Oreochromis niloticus: one gene and its partner. The protein of the gene in region 2 interacts with the protein of the main gene of each other region in a biochemical or structural test. Links are inferred from orthologs where the notes say so. Each region holds a gene or a part of one and is shown on either strand. Other genes may lie near its edges. The genes, in order: six3a and nr4a3.

Region 1 (9,283 bases), on a different chromosome or scaffold from region 2:
ACATCATCATGCAAAGAGGTATAGCAAAATGAATAGTGCGTTTGATTTTTAGAGTCTTAACTACAAGGCACATAATAACTACGCAAGGAAAGGGAAATGACATTGGCAAACGCAAATAAGCGCTCAGAGTGACCCCGGTGGACGGAAGAGTATATATATGTTTTTGGTTTTGGTTTTTTTGTCATTAACAACCCACCAAAAATCAAAGAAAACCAACAAAAACGCCTAGAGCACTTCAGTTTTAAGTTTTGACAAATATTTTATGTAGGAACACCAAGTCAAGAAAAGTGAGGAAGGGATAGAAAAGAGGATGACACGGGGGAGAGCAATAATTATGTACAAGCATATTTCTACACGTATATTACAGACCGGGAGAATGATCGCATTATTTGAGATATACATAATTCAATATAAAATTTCGAAAATAAAAATAAAATTCTGATACAGTCATAAACGGTTCTGTTCGACATTTTTTGACCATGTACCCCACAGGCAGTGACAGAAGTGTATTAAAAAAAGGTGCTTACGACTTAAAATGATTGTCTGATGAACACAAAGTAAAAACAGGATTGCATCTTGTCTGCATGGCGGCTGCTTCACCGCCATATCATCATCATCATCACTTGGACTAGAACCGGAGATGGGAAAAGGTGCGACGAAAACACCAAGACGATCTGTTTTATTCCCTCTGATCGATGTTCCTGATGGAAAATCTTGCATTCAGGATTATTTCCCTGATTACAAAATCAAAAATAAAATTAAAAAAAAAACCATCATGCAAGTAGTCTAGTAGTATGGTGGTGGTGGTGTGGGGGATGAAGAGGAGGGGGAGGCGTGGGTCCTTTGAAAGCGCTTTTTAATAATAAAAAAAACAAAAACAAAAAAAAAACGACGTGCTTTTAACTCTTTTTATTTTAATATTTATATCAATCGGTCCTTTTTTCATCCGCGATATTTCATAGTCTTTTTTCTTCCTCTCAGGTCCATTTTCCCTGTAAATATTTCTCTTTTTGTTTGTTTTTGTGTTTTTTTTCTCCGTATCATACATCGCACTCCGAGTCACTGGATGTGACGGACAGGATGGACGTCCCAGTATCAACTCTCTCTGTCATACTGGAAACGCTGGTGGTGGGACTTGCCGCGGTTGAAGGCGACTCTGCCGAGCTGTGAGGGGTGAGACCGGCCTCTGAGAGGGACCTCATACCGGCTGGTCCTATTGCTTGGTGCTGGAGCCTGGAGAAGAAAAGAAACGAGGAGGGGGAAAAAAGAGAAAAAATGAGAGAAATGGCAATTAGACCTGAGAATGTCCCCCTTCCCCTCCTCCTCCTGCAAAATAGGGGTTCAAACTCGCCTTTCTTTCCCCCTGCCGGCCCCAGCCATGCATGCGTGCTTTTATCAAATAGCCAGCTTTCAGGGGACAAAACACACCACTATTTAGACTACCAAATGTTGGAGGAAATGTACTAGGGCTGTGTTGTTGTTGTTGTTTTTTAACTTATTTTTTTTTTCTTAGAGATCAACGTCCTAGTCAACACTCTGGAATATAAATGATCCATGTTGCCAGTGCAGGAAAGCTTCAATTCCAACTTGCTGTCTTTGATATGGGCAGTTTGAAGACATTTTCCATTTGGAAATCTATGTTACTGCTCTGAGTTTGTTCAGCGTTTATTATTATTTCTTCATTCTGCACACGTGTATTCATGCTCATCAGCAGGACTTTGCACGCCTAAAACCCCCAAAATAATTATATATCATTGTTTGAAATAAAATATGTGTATTCTCACAATGACAAACTGCCGTGAGCCTTTGGCACAGATGTGTTTTAGTCTGATGGTAGGGGACGTGTATGAATGAGTGACGTTGAGATCCAGGTTACTCCAATCATCCTAAATGTTTATCTCCAATCCACTCATGATAATAACTCCATCGCGTGGGGATAATGTCAGCCTGGAAATATATCTATTCATTTAGCAAAAATATTAGAGTACTGTTCATATGGCTTAGTGCTCTCCAAAGTATTTTCTAATCAATTATGGCATTTCAATGGAATGATACTACACTTAATGTTATGAATACAGCCTATGTCTTCAGATGTTTTTCTCTACGCATGCTCAGATATCAATAATATCGCTATTATCCTTTGAGATAATCGTTGTGTTCAACAACAATAAGCAACATTTGATGTTAAAACGCTTAACGCTTGCATTAAGAAGTTACATTTATCAATAAACATAAATAAATAAATAATTTTATAATTTTAACAATTTAATATGTGTTTAAATGTAAAGATGAGACGATTTAACTTTAGAATACTTATTTTTAAAAAACACTGTCCTGTTTTTATTTCAGCTGATTGAAATAATTCACTAGGTTGTTTACAATTTTACAAGCGAAATAGTTGTAAAATTAAACAAATCCTGCAGCGGAATGTTTTTCTAAATATAAATTCAATAATCTTCATATGTTGCTAGAATACTTTCACTCTTGTAAAAATATAAATAGGGTGTTTCTGTTTAAAAAGAACTCGGCTCAATTATCGCTTCTCAAGATTGACAACAAATGTAGTTTGTGTTTGTACTATTTTATTAGTCAGTTTTTTTAAAATACCAAACTTTAGATTATTTGTATTTTTCATTCTTAAATAAAATTTGCGTTCAATTTAAAATACATTAAAAAATAATCAATCTGCAAAAAATGTTTAAAAGCCGATTTTTGATAATAATAATGAAGTTTTTATGCTTAGGAGAACTCTGGATATCTACAAAAAGAATATTTTCGATGTTTATCCGGATTTGATAACAAAATGTCGCCGCAGCGCACTCCCTCCACATGACAGCCAGACTTATCTTTTTCCTAGACAGTCTCCAATCGCAATATAAGGCTTGAAAAGGTCGTATTTTCTTTTGAATGTGCATTAAAGACAAACTTGTGTGCATGCTCGTGTTTCGACGGCATACTGAAAAGTCACCAACCTGTTTTTGGCCGCCGCAGCTCTGTCTCTTTGCCTCCGGTTTTTAAACCAGTTTCCGACCTGTGTGGGAGTGAGTCCAGTGGCTTGAGCCAGTTCCCTTTTCTTGCTGGGATTTGGATATGGGTCCTGAAGGTACCACTCCCTCAACAGGCTCCGTGTCCGCTCTTTGAAACAGTGCGTCTTCTGCTCGCCGTCCCAGATGGTCCGAGGCAGCGGAAACTTCTTCCGTACCCGGTACTTATCGACAGGTCCGAGGGGACGACCGCGGAGCTTCTCGGCCTCCTGGTAGTGAGCTTCCAGCCACATGGCCTGCAGTTTGCCATGAGAGTCCTTGGTGAACTTGTGGTTCTCCAGGATGTGGTAGAGGTCTCTGAAATTCCCGGTGTGGAACGCCACCACGGCCCGAGCGCGCAGGATGGACTCATGCTTGTTGATCGCCTCGCACGCTCCCGGAGCCACAGGCAAGGACCAGAGGAAGCGGCCCAGCCGTTCGATGTCCCCGGTCTCTTCCAGCGTCTCACAGACGCTTGCCACCTGCTCCGGGGAAAAGTTGAGGGTCGGTAGTTGAAACATGGACAAGTCTTCTGGAGACCTGGTGGTGGGAGCGCTGTTCGCCAGGAGCAGAGGGCGATCAGCGAAGTTTGGCAGGAAGAAATGGGAGGGATAAAGCTCTAAAGGGGATCTGAAAACCATGGAAATGACCTGAGAGAGAAAGAAAATTATCGAGAAAAAGGGAAAAACCGAAAAATACGGCAAGTAAAAAAGATTGAATGATTCAATGGCTATCGCCTAATGACACCAGCCTCATAATATCTCCCCCCTAAATCCGCCGTTGAGTGTAGCATTGAAACATTTTGTTTCCCTTTTCTATTGGTCTTCTTGGTGTCGTTGTAGCGTTGTCATGGCAGCCCTGCCAATCACTGTCAAGCGTGCCAATCATTAGCCAGTACGTAGCGCGAGGCTTTCACCACTTGTGCAGCACGCACGGGGGGTTATCAGAGTCTCCGATCTCCACAGCAACCCTCCCACCGCATCGCGCGCATCAGGCACAAGCCAATGCTCGCCTATCTGCTGAATGGAATGAGCAATTAGAGGGTGGAATATTATTGCGATCTTAACGAGGCTCGTTAAAGCTAAAGAAGATATGTAGACTGGAGATGCTTAGCAGAGACGGGAAGGGAGGGAGGGAGGCAGAGGGAGCTTTAAATGGGTGACAAATGGACAACCAATGACTGCAACTCGGGAATACACGTTTTGAATAGAAGCGAGTCAATTTGCACATTGTTTTTGTATAGTTTTTCCTGTAGTAGCTACTTTTTAGAATCTTTTTATCACTCCATTCATTTTTGTGCGACGGAAATGAAAGCGTTAGTCTTCTGGGTTACATTTTCCTTTTCATAGATACATGTGATCGCTTTACATTTTCTTGTTCTTTTGAAAAAACAAACAAACTATGATGTAGTCCCTTAAGCGTTTAAGGGTTTTTGTTTTATGTCTTTTGTTTCTGTCTTTTGTTTGTTTTTTGCCCTGGATCCGTCGATGGTTTAAAAAACTGCATGTTTGCAATTTTATGACATAATCCGCGCATGACTTTACTCGGCCTAGCTGTTCTGTGTGGTCACTTTATGATGGGTGGGTACTTGTCCGGGGGTATACTGCAGTGATCCGCTCCCCCTCCTGCTGTCCCCGGCCCTGCCTCTGGGACGCTGGGTGCAGTCCTGGCCCCCTGCCCGTTGCCTTCTCTCCAACCAACAGAATTTATTGTTACAAATTAATATCGACGCGCAGCATTGTGTTGATTGAACAAAGATCACGGCATTGTAGTGCGAAAACTAATTTGCCAGTGGCATCGCCCTTTTAACAGTTTATCGCGTTTTTTATGGCGCGGCCCTCTAATTAAAACTATTAGGCTAGTATTGGAATTACAATCAAATGGCAACATGAAAGGTTCTTGGGGACATAAAAGCTATTTCATTTTTTTTGATCTAGTGGTAAGGACATGATCAATGTCCACATTCAGTCATAGGACTCGGCTTATAGTGGTAGCCACGGCGGTGTGATTTTCATGTTTATGGCTAAACTGGCTTCATATTTAGACAGGGCTTATAGGGTGTTAAAATAGTGTGAATTCAGTCTAACACGAACAGTGCTCACATTGTGAAAGAGCCGTGTACAGGGCATAGAATCTAGACTTCGCTTAATCCACCCTCAGCAAAGCTGACATAATGATCCTAAGCCGCCTTTCTACAAAATCATTCAGGAATTCAAAACGTTCCCTTTCCTCTCTCCGAGTTGCACATTCTCCCGGCTGACCAACGACTTCAAGCTTGGAGGGACAGTGAGTACCTCAGCGTGCATGTATAGTCAGTGCTGCCTGTTTATGTCCACCACAAACCTTACCTGATGCGCTTAAACAACGTGATTGCCGCCGAGCAATTAGCCAACACTGGCGCACTATTACGCGTTTTAGGTAAAGCAGTGCTTTAACTCGTGCGAACATGTGCGTGCAGGAGTGGGGTGCGAGTGTCTGTGTCTGGAGGTGTATGTGATGCAGAGTGGGCGTTGTGATGATCTTGCAGCAGGGTCAGGCGTTTGGTTCGTGTGTTACTTCTGGAGTTTGCGCGCGTGTTTGTGCGTGTGGGGGCAGGGTAGAGTATGGGATCAAACCTGTCCACTGCGCTCCTATACGAACCTCAGGAGGACTAATTCCAAGTGGCACTTGAATTGGTCCCGTTGGAAAGCTCTGTGGACTGGAAGTAAAGGCTGGTATTTTCATGCTGGTGTTAAAACTAACCTCCTAGCCTATACCCCCTCCTCTTTCTCTTTCTCTCTTTCTCTCTCACACACATATACACACATGCATGACCCCAACATGAAGTTGAGAGTGCGGGCTTAGCAGCACTTCTCCAAATATGCAAAGCCTCCTACCTGACCGGGTTCCTGGTGTACCAATTTAGCTGATCACCATTCAACCCAAGGCTGCAGGTATTATGTAGCATTATGTTTTGGAGGAGCCTTGTTTGGGAGTAGCCCTCGCAGGCAATTCGGAAATCACTCTTAGAAAAGACTAGAGGTGAAATGTAAAACCTGAATGGGGATTGAGGGAGAAAAGCCACTGGTAATTCACATTCTTTTACATGGCTTTTGTTTATGTTAAGCATGTAATTAACACCTCCCAAACAAGTTTATTCACCTGCCGTAATTGTGTGTTTATCCGAGAGCTTGCTGAATGTTCCTAGCAGCGGGGGACGAGAGCTCTGAATGCACATTGAGCATTTAGCGTCTTCTCCGTTTACTTACAGCCTAAACCTCCAAACAAGACAACACAAACAGCATTTTTCATGCTAAAAAACTGGAAACATGCTGGTCAAGCAGGAACAGGCGTCCGTGTCTGTTAAGCAGCTGGATCTCGCTTCCCATTCCTTTTGGCTGATCGTAAAATGGAATGTCAAACTTTGTTTGGAAAAGTTTTGTATAAATAAAACAAGTTTCTTTTTTTATTTATTTGAAGTTGTTAATGTGATAGGGTAATACTGTTCATTGACCATGATATGTTAGTCCTATCGGAACATATTGCGTCTAAAAGTGTTCGTTAATCTTCATTAAGTAGTTATATTTCTTTTTCTGTCTGTTCCAATAAGGGGAGCAAATAAACAAAGCTGATGTTACGTCACGTTTGGGAGTGAGAGAGGGAGAAGGGGACCGGATGAGAGAAAGAAAGAAAAGGTGTTGACTGTAAAAGGTAAGAGGGAAAGAGAAGGCACGAAAGAAAGGGTCTTGTTTTATTTTTTGCTCCCTCGTTGACCCCGGTTTGGCAGAAGCTTCCCAGAAAAGGCAGCACACCCCTCCCTGGCAAACACAGGAGAGGCACATGTGCCTACTGCTCCATCCTGGATTCATCTCAACATTACACAGACACTTTGGAGAAATGACTGGTACGTACAAAAAAAAAGGTTTTCTCTTTTGCTTTTCTCTTAGAACAAGGCTGTCTAGTTTCTGCTGAATTTATTTTCGCACGCGCCAGAGGATGCATTTATTATTATCCTGCCAACAGAGAAATGCAATTTTCTTTTAATCACGTGGAAACTCAACGCTTGTGTTTTTCTCTCAGAATATCAGGAATTACCTTTCCCCCCCCACCTTGCTCGTTCTTGTCTCCTGCAGGGCTGTAAGCTGGCTCCAGTCCACGAGCGGTCACCATTTGAGCTTGGAAGCTGTAGCTGGAGATGGCACCGCTTCACGGTTATTTCACTGGTCAGTTTGTCCAAAAGTAGGATGGAAATCGAGCTGCAGTGTCTGTAAGTTCTGTTAAATGTAAGCAGAGCAATTTCCGTCTGCGACGTTGTTGACTCGTTGTTATTTTTGCGGACAATTCATTTATTTAAACAAAAATATGGAATTAAACAGAAAAATCTTAACAGACCTTGATATGAGGTTAATCTATCCTTTAGATCAGAAAAGTTACATTTGGTGTTATCTGACCTTTCCCTCACCGAGAATAGGGAAGATCTGTCTTTGCAGAGCAGATGTGTGATGCTGTCGGGACGGGGCGCACAATCGCCTCCATCCCATGCTGGCTAGTCCAGGGTACGGAGACGCTGCTTTCTCCCCACACTGTAAAAAGTATCAGTCTAGAGGTGTCATTTAATGTAGCACTGAGTTTTAAAAATACGGGTTTATTTTTGGGAAAATGAATGGCTGTATCATACATTTGGGAGAAGGATGTAAAAGGACACATCTCGATCAGATATAACTTCATCTGCTTCTGTTTAAAGTTTCTGGTGAAAATTTCGAGTTAGTACAAGAAATGCAGAACTCCGTTTTCTTTAGAAATATTATACCGCTTCTTTTAAAAAAAATGCTATGCATAAAATTTGTGTCACTGGATTTTTTTTTTTTTTTTTTACCGTATCTGAGGAAATTTTGATGAAATGAAAACAAATTGGATATTTTTTGCAGTGCAAAAATGCGATTAAAGCATATAGTCAGCAGCTATAACAACTGCATTCTATTTTTTAAAACCATTTAAAAATTAATATTAGACCTGCATGTGACGCTATTACGATTTGGTTCATTCCATGGTGAACTCAAGCGCCAAAACAATTAAGTCGGTTGCAATATCTTAAAACAGCCTCTGAATAACAACTTGTGATCACATAAGCAATAGGCAAAACCTCTGTTTACGTTTGCAGATGCATGCACGACACACAATAGTGTCTAAATTTAAAATTAAAGAAACAGAAAAACGCCATGATTGAATTTAAAACGTTTTTTCACCGCAAATGTCACTGATCTGTAAACGTGGCTCCAACTTTAATAGTAAAGCTTTTACAAAAGTTTTAACATCTCTCTCTCTCTCTCTCTCCCTCCTTTCTTTTATTGTTTTTATTGTGTGGTCTCATTAGGGGGACTTCCTGGCAGGGCTGGGAGCTTGTATCGGAGCTGTCCAATCAGTGTATTTACACGGGTTGTTAGCGACAGTTAATGAGGGCTCCTCCCCGGGCCGGTAGAGAAAGGCGCCTCAACATTAAGATTTACCTTGTGTCAACTCGTTACTTCTAATGAACCTCCATGCAAAAGCCTCCTCGTTCTCAATGGAGCCGTGCGCCCGGATCTTGTGTGTGAGACCCTGGAAGAGTGGAGCTGCAAGCCGGCCTCCCTCTCCCCCACCTCCTTTTCTTCCGCTCACTCAGGGAGTGTTGCTTTTTCTCTGCAGGCCCGGTTCTATGATGCATGCATGCAGTGTGTGTGTGCGTGTGTACATGTTTGTGTGTGGGTACATATAGCCTGCTCTTCATTGAATATGGCGTTAGGAATCCAAATGTTTTCATTATATATTTAAATTTGTGCAAAAAGGCTTTTCCCCGTGTAGATTAACACATATTGGACTACAGCGTAAAATTATACGTAGGCTATATATTTATTTAAAATGTGTCTAATCGATAAAGAAAAAAAACAGTCATTAGAAGTGTGTTCTGAGACAAGACATAGGCGTAGGAGGGTGTTTGTGTTTGCATGCACGTATCACAAACCATATGTCTTCTATTGTTTGGTGAATGAGGCTTGACATGTCAGCTTATTGCCCCTGCAGAAGTAAGTTCATTTATAATCACCCTCCATCCCCCACGAGAGCACCGAGCACAGATCGGGCTCTGGCCCCTCTGTCCACCCCTCGTCTGGCCCCTAGTGAGGCTTGTTGAGCCGCATCAGCAACACATCACTGCCCCTCAATTCAGGTACAAACGAGAGGAGTTTGGCAGCTCCCTGAAGTGGACTCCCCTCTTGCTCTTCTAGACCACAGAGACACCACTT
Region 2 (9,766 bases):
GTCGCCTTTGTGACACTTGCATTGAAGCAGTTGTGTGCATATGTGTCTGTTTGTGTGCGTGTGTGTGTGCAAGCAAGAGGACAGACAACCCAAGCAGAGTCAGACACAGGTGGTGCAGCATAGTGAGGCAAAGGGAAACAGTCTCTAACCTCGAGGTGTGCATTTCAACTGGACAAACTGCAGCTGTTCCAATAACTGAGTGCGCTTGTTCATTGTCAGAATGCCATAGATCTAACAAATGAAAACATGAAGGTGCAGACATAAATTACAAAAACACAGATTTTTTATATCAATAAACTATAAAACATTTTCGGGGAGTCAGCGTCCCACAATGAGTAGAGTGATTTTTACTTTTGTTCCCTTTACACTGTGCACACAACCCCCCCCCCCAAAAAAACCACAAAGCACAGAGACACTTACACAACCAGTTACTTCAGGGTATACAGTCTAGTTTCTCTATTGAATTATAATGGACAAAATTCTCTCTCTCTCTCTCTCTCTCTCTCTCTCTCTCTCTCTCTCTCACACACACACATATATATATGTGTGTGTGTTTGTGTGATTGTATTATATATAAATATATATATATATGATTCACATTTTGCCTCCAGGTTTTGGATATAAGTGTGCCTGGCCTCAGAATTGTCTTATCTTAATGACTGAAATGTCAGCTCACTTGCCAGACAAAATCAACCCACACACATACACATGGGCTCACGGCTGCAGCACAAACAAAAGATCACCAGAACATTCAGGAAAGTTCAAGTCATATTTTGACCTTTAACAGGAGTAAAACACATACATAAAACGACTGCCTACCAGCTGATATTCAGATCTAACCCCTGTGTTTTAAACTACTAAATAAAATGATTTATATATATATATGTATATATATATATATATATATATATATATATATATATATATATATATATATTTTAATTTTTGGGAATGTTGTTTTTTTCTTTTTTCCCCACAATAAAACAATCACCCGACTCATATCACCAAGCACTCCACAACAGCAACACGAAATGAAAGTGTCAGAGCCGCTGCACTCTTTACAAAAGCATCAGATGAGAAGGAGATTAAACAAGAAAGAAAGAAAGAAAAAAAAAGATGAGATGAAAGTGAAGACAGACTGAGCGCTTGTTTCTGTACCTGGTGAAAGAGCCTCGCGCTGAATGGTGCTGGGTGTCCGGGATTTAGGGGTGGCGTGGCTGCGGCCGGGGCAGGGCTCCTGGAGCGGGGAGGGCTCGGCGGGCGTCGCTAAGGAAGTGTCCGATCGCCGGGGCTCCGAGCTCGGCTGGGCGCGCTCTTCCGAACCTGTGCCTGGGTGAGACATGGCTGTGTTAAAGCCAGTGGCAGGCTGAATAATCAGGTAGCCTAAGTGCCTCAAACGCTCGTAAAGACTTTAAAAAAAAAAAGATTACTCAAAGAGAAGCGAAAAATTCTTTCTTTTTTTTTTTTCTCCCTCAAGAATGGAGACCTTTGTTTAAATTGCTTCCACAAACTTAAGCAAATTCGAATTCGGTGTTCAAAATTTCCTCACACTTTCAGAAAAAAATCGGACAGAGAAACATTTTTGCACAATTTAAAGACAACCAGAAAAGCGTTCGTTTCATCTCAAAAGCAAATCGTTATTGGCACAAAAATCTCATCTGAGAGATTCAGTCAGTTTAAAAGCAGTGGAAAGAGATAACAGGGGATGTAAAGCACTGCGCTGAGACGGCGTAAATTCAAACAACTACCAGTGCACACGCTGGAAGGCAAATTAGGGATAAGATTTAGACTTTTACATCCAACACAGGGCAATTCTGACAATGAATATGTCACTGAGTGCATCCTACAAAGAGAACCACAACTGAGGACTTTGGGTTCATTTCAAAACTTTGCCTACGTGGGCGACAGGTTTCATTTTAGCACTAAAGTCTGCGCCGTTATTATTATTATTATTATTATCATAATTACTGCCGAACAGATATTTTGCACCGCAAAACAGAAATTCCACCAGTCAACAAACTATGCACGACTTCTGAAACAAAATAATAATAATGAAAAAAAATATCACAATACAGACCTACAAAAGTGACAACTTTTATAAAAGCAGCTTGCGCCAGTGCCTCCGGGCCATCGCTTTTCTTGCCTCTGATCACCACCGCATTCGCCTGCTCAGGGTTCATCCAGAGGGGAGAGAGAAATCTAGAAAATTGGGAGAGTCGGACCTGAAACCAGACCAGCGGGCTCCTGTGCGCCGTGCGCCTCCGACTCCCTCTCACTGCAGCAGGGTGCACCGTGGCCGGAAGATTTCAAGGCCCAGAGCGCCCCCTTTCTGTAACACACTCCTATATACTCTGTCTCTCTCTCACTGTGGCTCTCTCTCCGCCACACACAGACCCCTCTATGAGACGGTCAAGTTGAGAAGACCACACAGTCTCCCTGTGTGTATCGCAAAACAGCTTGGTGACAACCCACAACCCTCATACGGATCAAGACTAGGGGCACCTGCAGCTTCATGTCAGCAGCCACTTTTGACCAAACTTTGAACCACTTCTCAAAGGACTTACTGGACACCCACGAACCCCCTGTCGGTGGTTCTTTTGTCGGAATATGGCTTTTAACAGTCCCCAAATAGGTTGGAATAAACAAAAAAGGACAAACCAGAGTAAATAAACAAGTCAAGCTGTATAACATTTATTTGATTAGGACTGATTTGGAACAGTTAAGCCATTATTAAATTGTGTATGGAGCCATTTGAGCACTGAGAGAAAAAAAGAGACCCCTTTAGGCCTGAAAAATGATTTTCTTACAGTAACAGCACAAATGAGAGTCCATTTGAAATAAGTTGAAGTCATCTCATTCTTACATAAAGTTGTGAAGCTAAACCCGTAACTGCGTAAATACGCTCTAATCAGAGCCACCGAGGGCGTTAAAGAGATGAAGATGAAGTGTTTTTACTTCAAACAAACTTATTTTTGTACAAAGTGAGACATTCTGCCTTTTTCTTACTTTTTTTAATGAACCCGCCCCCCTTTTACTTTATTCTCAGACCGAGCCGGTCGGTGGGGCTCTGGCCCTGCGCGCACCGGTAACCAAGAGAACGACATAAGAGCTGCAAAGCACGCGCCCCGGAGCGCCGGTAGCCCCCGGTAGCCCCCTCGCACCAATAACTCCGGACAGCGCGAGGCTTCCAGCAAACAGAAACAGAGAAAAGAAAGGACATAAAGGAAAGAGCAGAGAAATATGCGAGTAGCCTAGCCTACTGTAAATCAGCCCTGAGTGGGAGCCTGTCACTGGAGCCTGCGTGCGCGCGTTCGTGCGTGCGTAAACCTGAGTGTGTGTGAGGGAACTGAGGGGAGAAAAGAAGGTAAAACCAGCAGCTTACTTAAGTACCTCAACCCGGTGTTGTCAGCTTATTATTATAAACTACGTGACTGGCCAAGAGGCACGATAGCTGCTGGAGCATGCTTCAAGATGGGCTTCAGAAATGTTGTTGTGGCTTTATGGTTGAGGGTGTTTTTCCTGCGATACATGGCTCATGAAATTCGGAAGCAATTTGAGTACCAGTGTATCTTGGGACAGTTTTATTATATACGGGTTAATGCTAACTGTACGCTCACTCCATGTTACTGGAGGTTAAATCATAGCGCAGTGTGACACAGACTATCAGCCGAGCGATATCTAAACACAAACACACCCACAACCTCACAAACACACACTTACACACACATATATATATATATATATTATAAAAAGACACCACGCCCTCAAAAAATTAAAAATGTAAAAAAACTCCGATAAGACACCCCCCCACACACACACACACAAAACAAAAAACCCAAACAAACCATGGCTTGAAATCAAAGAGCATTAACTCTCCTCTCCCAGCTCCTGCCTGAATGTAGGTTACACCGCTCTCCACTCAGACCATTTCTGCGTCCGACTCCACTATTCATTGTGAGAGTGAGAGGCATCTCATTTCCATGACAACCGGAAAGAATACGATACCTTCTCCAGCGCAAATTAAATTCAGAGTTCAGCCTCATTCGCCGTCGGAGACCCCGCACATAGGCACAGGCGGACAAACATGACCGGCAACACGCGTGTGCCGGTGGCTGACGTGAGCAGCAACAGGTTGGGCGCACAAAGTTGGGCACCACGCGCACAGATGATGTTAGAGTAGTAAATCCATCATGGCTTTTGATTTAGGTGGGCAAAAAAATTGAATACGTACAGCTGAGGGTTATCTTCCTTCTGCGTGTTTCCGCCAAGATGTGAGGCAGAGCGCTACAGATTCATTCATTCATTCAGTTTACTTACTTGTTTGCTGTAGCGGTTCCGTCTTTACATGTAGTAGGCTAATAACTTGGCGTGAAGTATCCGTTTTCCATCCAGAACAACCGCAAAGAGTTGAAATAATGACAGGAAAGAAAAATAATAATAAAAGCACTCTTAGTGATGTCGGAGAGGCGCTGGATTCGTCGGCATTAGAAAAAGAAAAGGAAAGGAAAAAAAGTTCCGTTCCTTCCACTTACTTTTTCTAAAGTAGAAAAAGTAGAAAATGAAATAAAAAATAAATCATCAAACTCCCGAGTGGCTCTAAAGAGCGCGTCTGCGTCCGTCCCCGTGCTGCTGAGTGTGTCAGTGCTGATGGGTGCTTTGCAAAGTGTGCTCTTGTAACGCGCGTTTGTTTATGTGCGCCGTCTGAGGGGAGAAAGTCAAATAGTGCATTTATGTGGGCTCTGCCTCCACACAGAGCTCTTGGTATGCGCTACGTCAATGTGACGCCATGGGAGAGGTGACGTCACCCAGTGTAGAGCTCCCTCTCTCTCTCTCTCCGTACAGTACAAGACACATAAGCCCCGTGTGCCGTGCCAGAGAAAGAGAGAGAGAGAGGGGTGGAGAGAGAATCTGAGAGAGCCAGAGAGCGAGGCGGTTGGTTTGATGGTTGCAGGGGAGGAAGCCGAGGGGGATCCGGCGGGCGAGCCTGCACCACTAGCAGGAACTGTAAAGAGGCTGTTCTTCTAGATTACTTAATAAAGTATAAACTAAACACAAAACCTTACAAAATGCAAAGAAATATTAATAAAATAGATTTTAAATTTAGGTTCATCATCAAAATCTCCCATTTCTCTTTCTGCAAACACAGCATATTAATAAAGGTAACAATAATTTTAGTCATGAGCATGTTTTCCTATACAGAACACATGCTGGGATGTATCTAAATATTTCCAATCAACTATCTGGTGATACTTGTGCTCCATTACATTTCAGAAGCATGTTTTAACCCATTGTACACATCTATCCACAAGCAAACCTTTCAAAAGCAGCATCTCTCCATGTAATGGAGCTCTTTTATGGTGTGTTTCCAGAAGGGATCATATGAAATTATAATATCATTATAAACCACCATAAAAGCACACTTGCATAATTTTGGTGCCTTTTTAATGTGCTCCAGACAGATTTTTACCTGAAATTGCCGATACATAAGAACCTGTAAATAAAGAGCCTCAGAACAGACTTTTTATCTTAAGTAAAGTCATTTATTTCTTTATTTTTTGTACAGCGCAGTTTTAAAACAACAGACCAAAACAACAGTTGACCCAAAGTGCTTCACAGGAGCGATCATTTGTAATCCAGGTCTCCAAGAACCCAATTGCAAACACAACTCAGAGAAAAAGACCATAATACTATGTGTGACATGTTTTCTGGTCAGGGCACTGACCATCAAGCATCACCGTTAGTATAAGTCAGCTTCTCTAAGGTTCATTTCCCAGCATTTCTTTAAGGTGGTGGTTTTCAAACTTTTCCTGGCACACCCCTCGGAAACAGGAAAGAAGCCAACCCACATAACCATCATTTATGTTTTAAATTAATGATTAACACAAAAGGGAGAGCCTTTAGCAAAACTGTGTTTATTTTGGCTGCAAATAAAATCATATTATTTTGACTTTGGTTCGCTCTGTATTTCTTCAGTGTCTGCATGTCTCACCAGGCTTCATGCCCATAGTCTGAGAACAACTTTCAGGCAAGGCATTAAATGAAAAATCACCACCTAAAGCTCAGACTATAACTGGGTTATTTTTCTAAGAGAAATGCAGATAAATATGTTTTTAAAAAAGGTAATATCCCAGGAAAAGGTAATATCCCACAGCCTTATTTTGGTAAAAGATAACGACATCAAGAAAAGTCCTGATACATGGATATTTTAAGTGGGGGTGAGCTGGATGATCTAAGGCTGGGTTTTTTTTAATATGTTTTAAAATAAATATATGTACAAAAGTGTGTTGATGACAGTTTTGAAGGCTGGTGAAATGACCTGATTTATATAATTTATTAATGTCTGTATAGCAATAAAACATAAAAAGGTCAGACAGGATGGCATTGGAATGGACTTAAATCCCTCTCTCTCTAATTTTGAAACACACATTTAAAATTGTGGAGAGGCTAATGTGGTCAAGAGTGGGGAAATACTGCAAGCAGCCAGCGAAGGCAGCAGACTCTGAACGGGATGTGAGAAGCAGCTATCAGTTTCGCTTCTGCGCGCTCGCTAACCTCAAAATTAAAAAAACGCCTCCGGAGACGCCGGGAATAATAATTCTCAACCACCAATCACAAGGCGCGTATTTTTCAGTCAACGTGCTAATTCCGACCAATGATCAGCCCCTGGGGGCGGGGAATGCCTTGACGCACTGAGGCTCGTGATTGACGCAAGCCTTGTTGCTAATTTTAGCTCTTGGCCGACGGAGACAGTGAGATAGCCGACATCCTATTCATTGTCGGGCGGGCCCGACTATTTTAGCGTTGTGATTGTGATCCAGCCAAGCCAAATATAGCTATAGACAGGTATTTTTAGCCGTAAAGCGTGACCCCGTTTTTATTCGGCTAAAGAAGCCTCGGGATGCAGTTTGAAAATGAGTTTCGGCTCCCCAAAAACGGCACACTCAGTGTTAACCTGTTATTTTAGCCGGATAGTTTTACAGTCAGCTGATAGAGTAGAGCAGGCATACCCCAAGAGAAAGCTCCAGTACAGCACAGGCTCTCTCTCTGTGTCACTCTCACTCACTGCGGGGGAAACAGGGTGGAAAAGACCGTAGATGTGAAGATAAATAGCCGTCAGGTCGTCAGACAGACACAGTCAACAGGTTTGTGTGTGTGATGGTTTTGCAGCTTCGCACAGCACCGCTGCTGCTGCTTCTTCTCCTCACATGAGGCGTATCAGCTGAGGCTAAACCGCTGCTGCTGCTGCAGGGGAGCTTTAACCACTTTTCAGTGGTGAGGATGAAAAGTTGTGAACTAGAGGATGTTTTAAAAAAGCCATGAAATTGCGGGGGGGGGGACCATGTGTGCATGTATAGAAAAGCCTTGCTTGTCCACCAAATCGTCTGTCCCAAACTCACTCCCTTCCAGTTCCTCTCGAAGGTATGTAGGTTATGCAGTGAAATGTGCAGGACATCTGACATTCCTGCCAGTTGCCAAGTTTTGTTTGTAGCCTGCTCAACTGTGACTGGTGATTAAAACTTTTACTTTTGAAAGTCTTTGGCAGTCCCTTTGTGCCACGATCACAGCTGCAGGGTATACAGATCACATGCCACCAAAACCACAGGCGTCCAGAGGCTCATTTGAGTTGTGATTTATGTGTAAACTTCCCCTCTTAATTCACATTTCCACACAATTCATGCTTGTTTAAACGTATGTTCTTACATTTAATCGGGCAGACGGGTGGGTGGATGGGTGGGAGGTTTGCTCTGGTTCAGATGAGTGCCTGGAGAGTGCAGGTGTCTTAATGCACCCTGAAGACTGCACATGTTTCTTGTGTGTTCCTCGTATTCAAATCTTCTGTAAATCATAAGCTTATTACTAGATCGTATCCTACATACATATCCTATAGGCATAGATCACAAGTTGTTCTTCTTCTGCATGTCTTGTGTTGTTCTTTGTCTTATCTCAGCTCGGAGTCCCTCTGATAAATTCCCTCTACTTTCGGGGGGGGGTGGGGGATGAAACTTTGCATTAGTGCCATATGCAAATTAATTTATTGGTCATTTCTACTGTCTTTATCTTCAGGTATGAATCATATAGCATAAACTCATCTTATAGCTATCTTTATGTTAGTGTTCATTATTTTTCCCCTGTTCCTGGCTCGTTGGCCCGTCAGCTGCCTGGGCTGTGAGCTCACGGTCCTGACGTGTAATCCAGATTAACCTGCTCTCTTATTCCGCCAGTCTTGGAAGAGATTAGAGATTATGACTGTGTCCTTTTAATAGAATTGGATGTGTGGGTAATCAACTGCGTCCACCAGCGTCGGGTATCAGGTGACTCAGTCACACTCGCACAGCCACTTATTTTGTCACTTAGGAGGCCATTGCATTGATTTGCATTAATTCCCCAAAGACTCACTGTACTCAAAACAGCTAATACGCGTTTAACACCAGGCTTAACTGTAACCAGAGCCAAAGTTACAAACCTAAAATTGAATTGTTTACATATTAGGGTTCACGTTCTGTTCCTAAATTATCCGCACAATGTGACTGTTTGAACTGAAGTGAACTTAAGTCTGTAGTTGTGTTTCACCTGAAACATAAGATCCCTCATCAGCCAGCTAGATAGTGAAGTGAGTAAACCATACAAAAAAGGAAACATCCTACATCCCTAAAGATATATATTTTTTTCCTTTGGCACCTTTGTGACCTCATTGCTGCCTCATGCTATGGTTACACCAGAAATAGAAAGTCCTAATTTAACACTTGGCTGTGGCTGAAAAGACAGGTGGAACAGAAAAAAGGATGTGCAGTTACCAATACTACTATACCACAGTCTTTTTTTTTTTTAAATGGACCTCTCCTTGCCCGCTGTCACATGTCCTGGCATTCTCTCACTGCATCTCATGCTGTAGTTGTCTGATTATTCTGGGTTTTTTCAGACAAAAAAAAGCAAAAGCAAGTGTTTTCTCTGAAATTTGCAGTTTTTGGGAAGCAAAAATGAATCCAGACTGTGCTCCAGCTAAAAAGCAGACGAGGTGATAAATTTTCATAAACAGCAAAAATCTTCTGCAGAAATCTTTATGACACAGCCCACAACTAAGGGTGTAATTTCCCTACAATAAAATGGAAATTCATTGTATTTTATCAGAATCTGAATGTAATTATATTTATGGGAACATAATCGATAATTGGTAATCAAATGTCCTTTTATATTACATATAACAACATGATAAGGACTGTTCTCTATTTATTACATACAAGAAAAAAAAAATGAACAAACGTCACAGGCCATGTGATCTTATAATAATGCATCAAACTCATAGCTGATTTTTTTCCTTTGGTTTTTGTGTCAGTGCAAACCCCAAATTGAACATAACAAAATTTACAATAAATGTTTGATGCTAGCAGATTGCTATGGTCACCAGTAGTTTGCATGATCTTGCCAACTATTAGCAGAGCAGTAGTGCAACCCAGAAATGGAGGTTTCTTTCCAAGTAAAAGATCTGCCTTCTGAAACAAATCATAACAATCTCCAGTTCTGCTTTGAATCACACATTTAATGCTAAGCCACTAAAAAGGGGAGAACTGTTCACCAGAGGGACAAAGTAGCATTTCCTCATTGAGGACTCTTAGTTGAATCAAATAATTAAAACATATACAATTTAGTGAAATTTACATATACTTCATGAAATGTGGAAATCGTGGAAATTCCCTCATTTGCTAGTCAGGGCTATGTCTAGATAATAGAAATGTATAGACTTCTAAGAGGTAAGTGGGAGGAGGAG

What was found.
Region 1: the proteins of nr4a3 (region 2) and six3a form a complex in vitro, tested with the Homo sapiens proteins (3 studies listed by BioGRID). The link is inferred for Oreochromis niloticus from reciprocal best matches to the Homo sapiens genes NR4A3 and SIX3.

The regions. Positions count from the first base shown.
Region 1 is NC_031978.2:10,860,786-10,870,068, forward strand, and holds six3a (homeobox protein SIX3a), read right to left. Parts: upstream 3,815-9,283; 5' UTR 3,665-3,814; coding exon 2,973-3,664; intron 1,234-2,972; coding exon 1,041-1,233; 3' UTR 240-1,040; downstream 1-239. UniProt on the Homo sapiens protein: Transcriptional regulator which can act as both a transcriptional repressor and activator by binding a ATTA homeodomain core recognition sequence on these target genes.
Region 2 is NC_031976.2:19,862,391-19,872,156, reverse strand, and holds the start of nr4a3 (nuclear receptor subfamily 4 group A member 3), read right to left. Parts: upstream 3,734-9,766; 5' UTR 2,181-3,733; coding exon 2,078-2,180; intron 1,330-2,077; coding exon 1,159-1,329; intron 1-1,158. UniProt on the Homo sapiens protein: Transcriptional activator that binds to regulatory elements in promoter regions in a cell- and response element (target)-specific manner.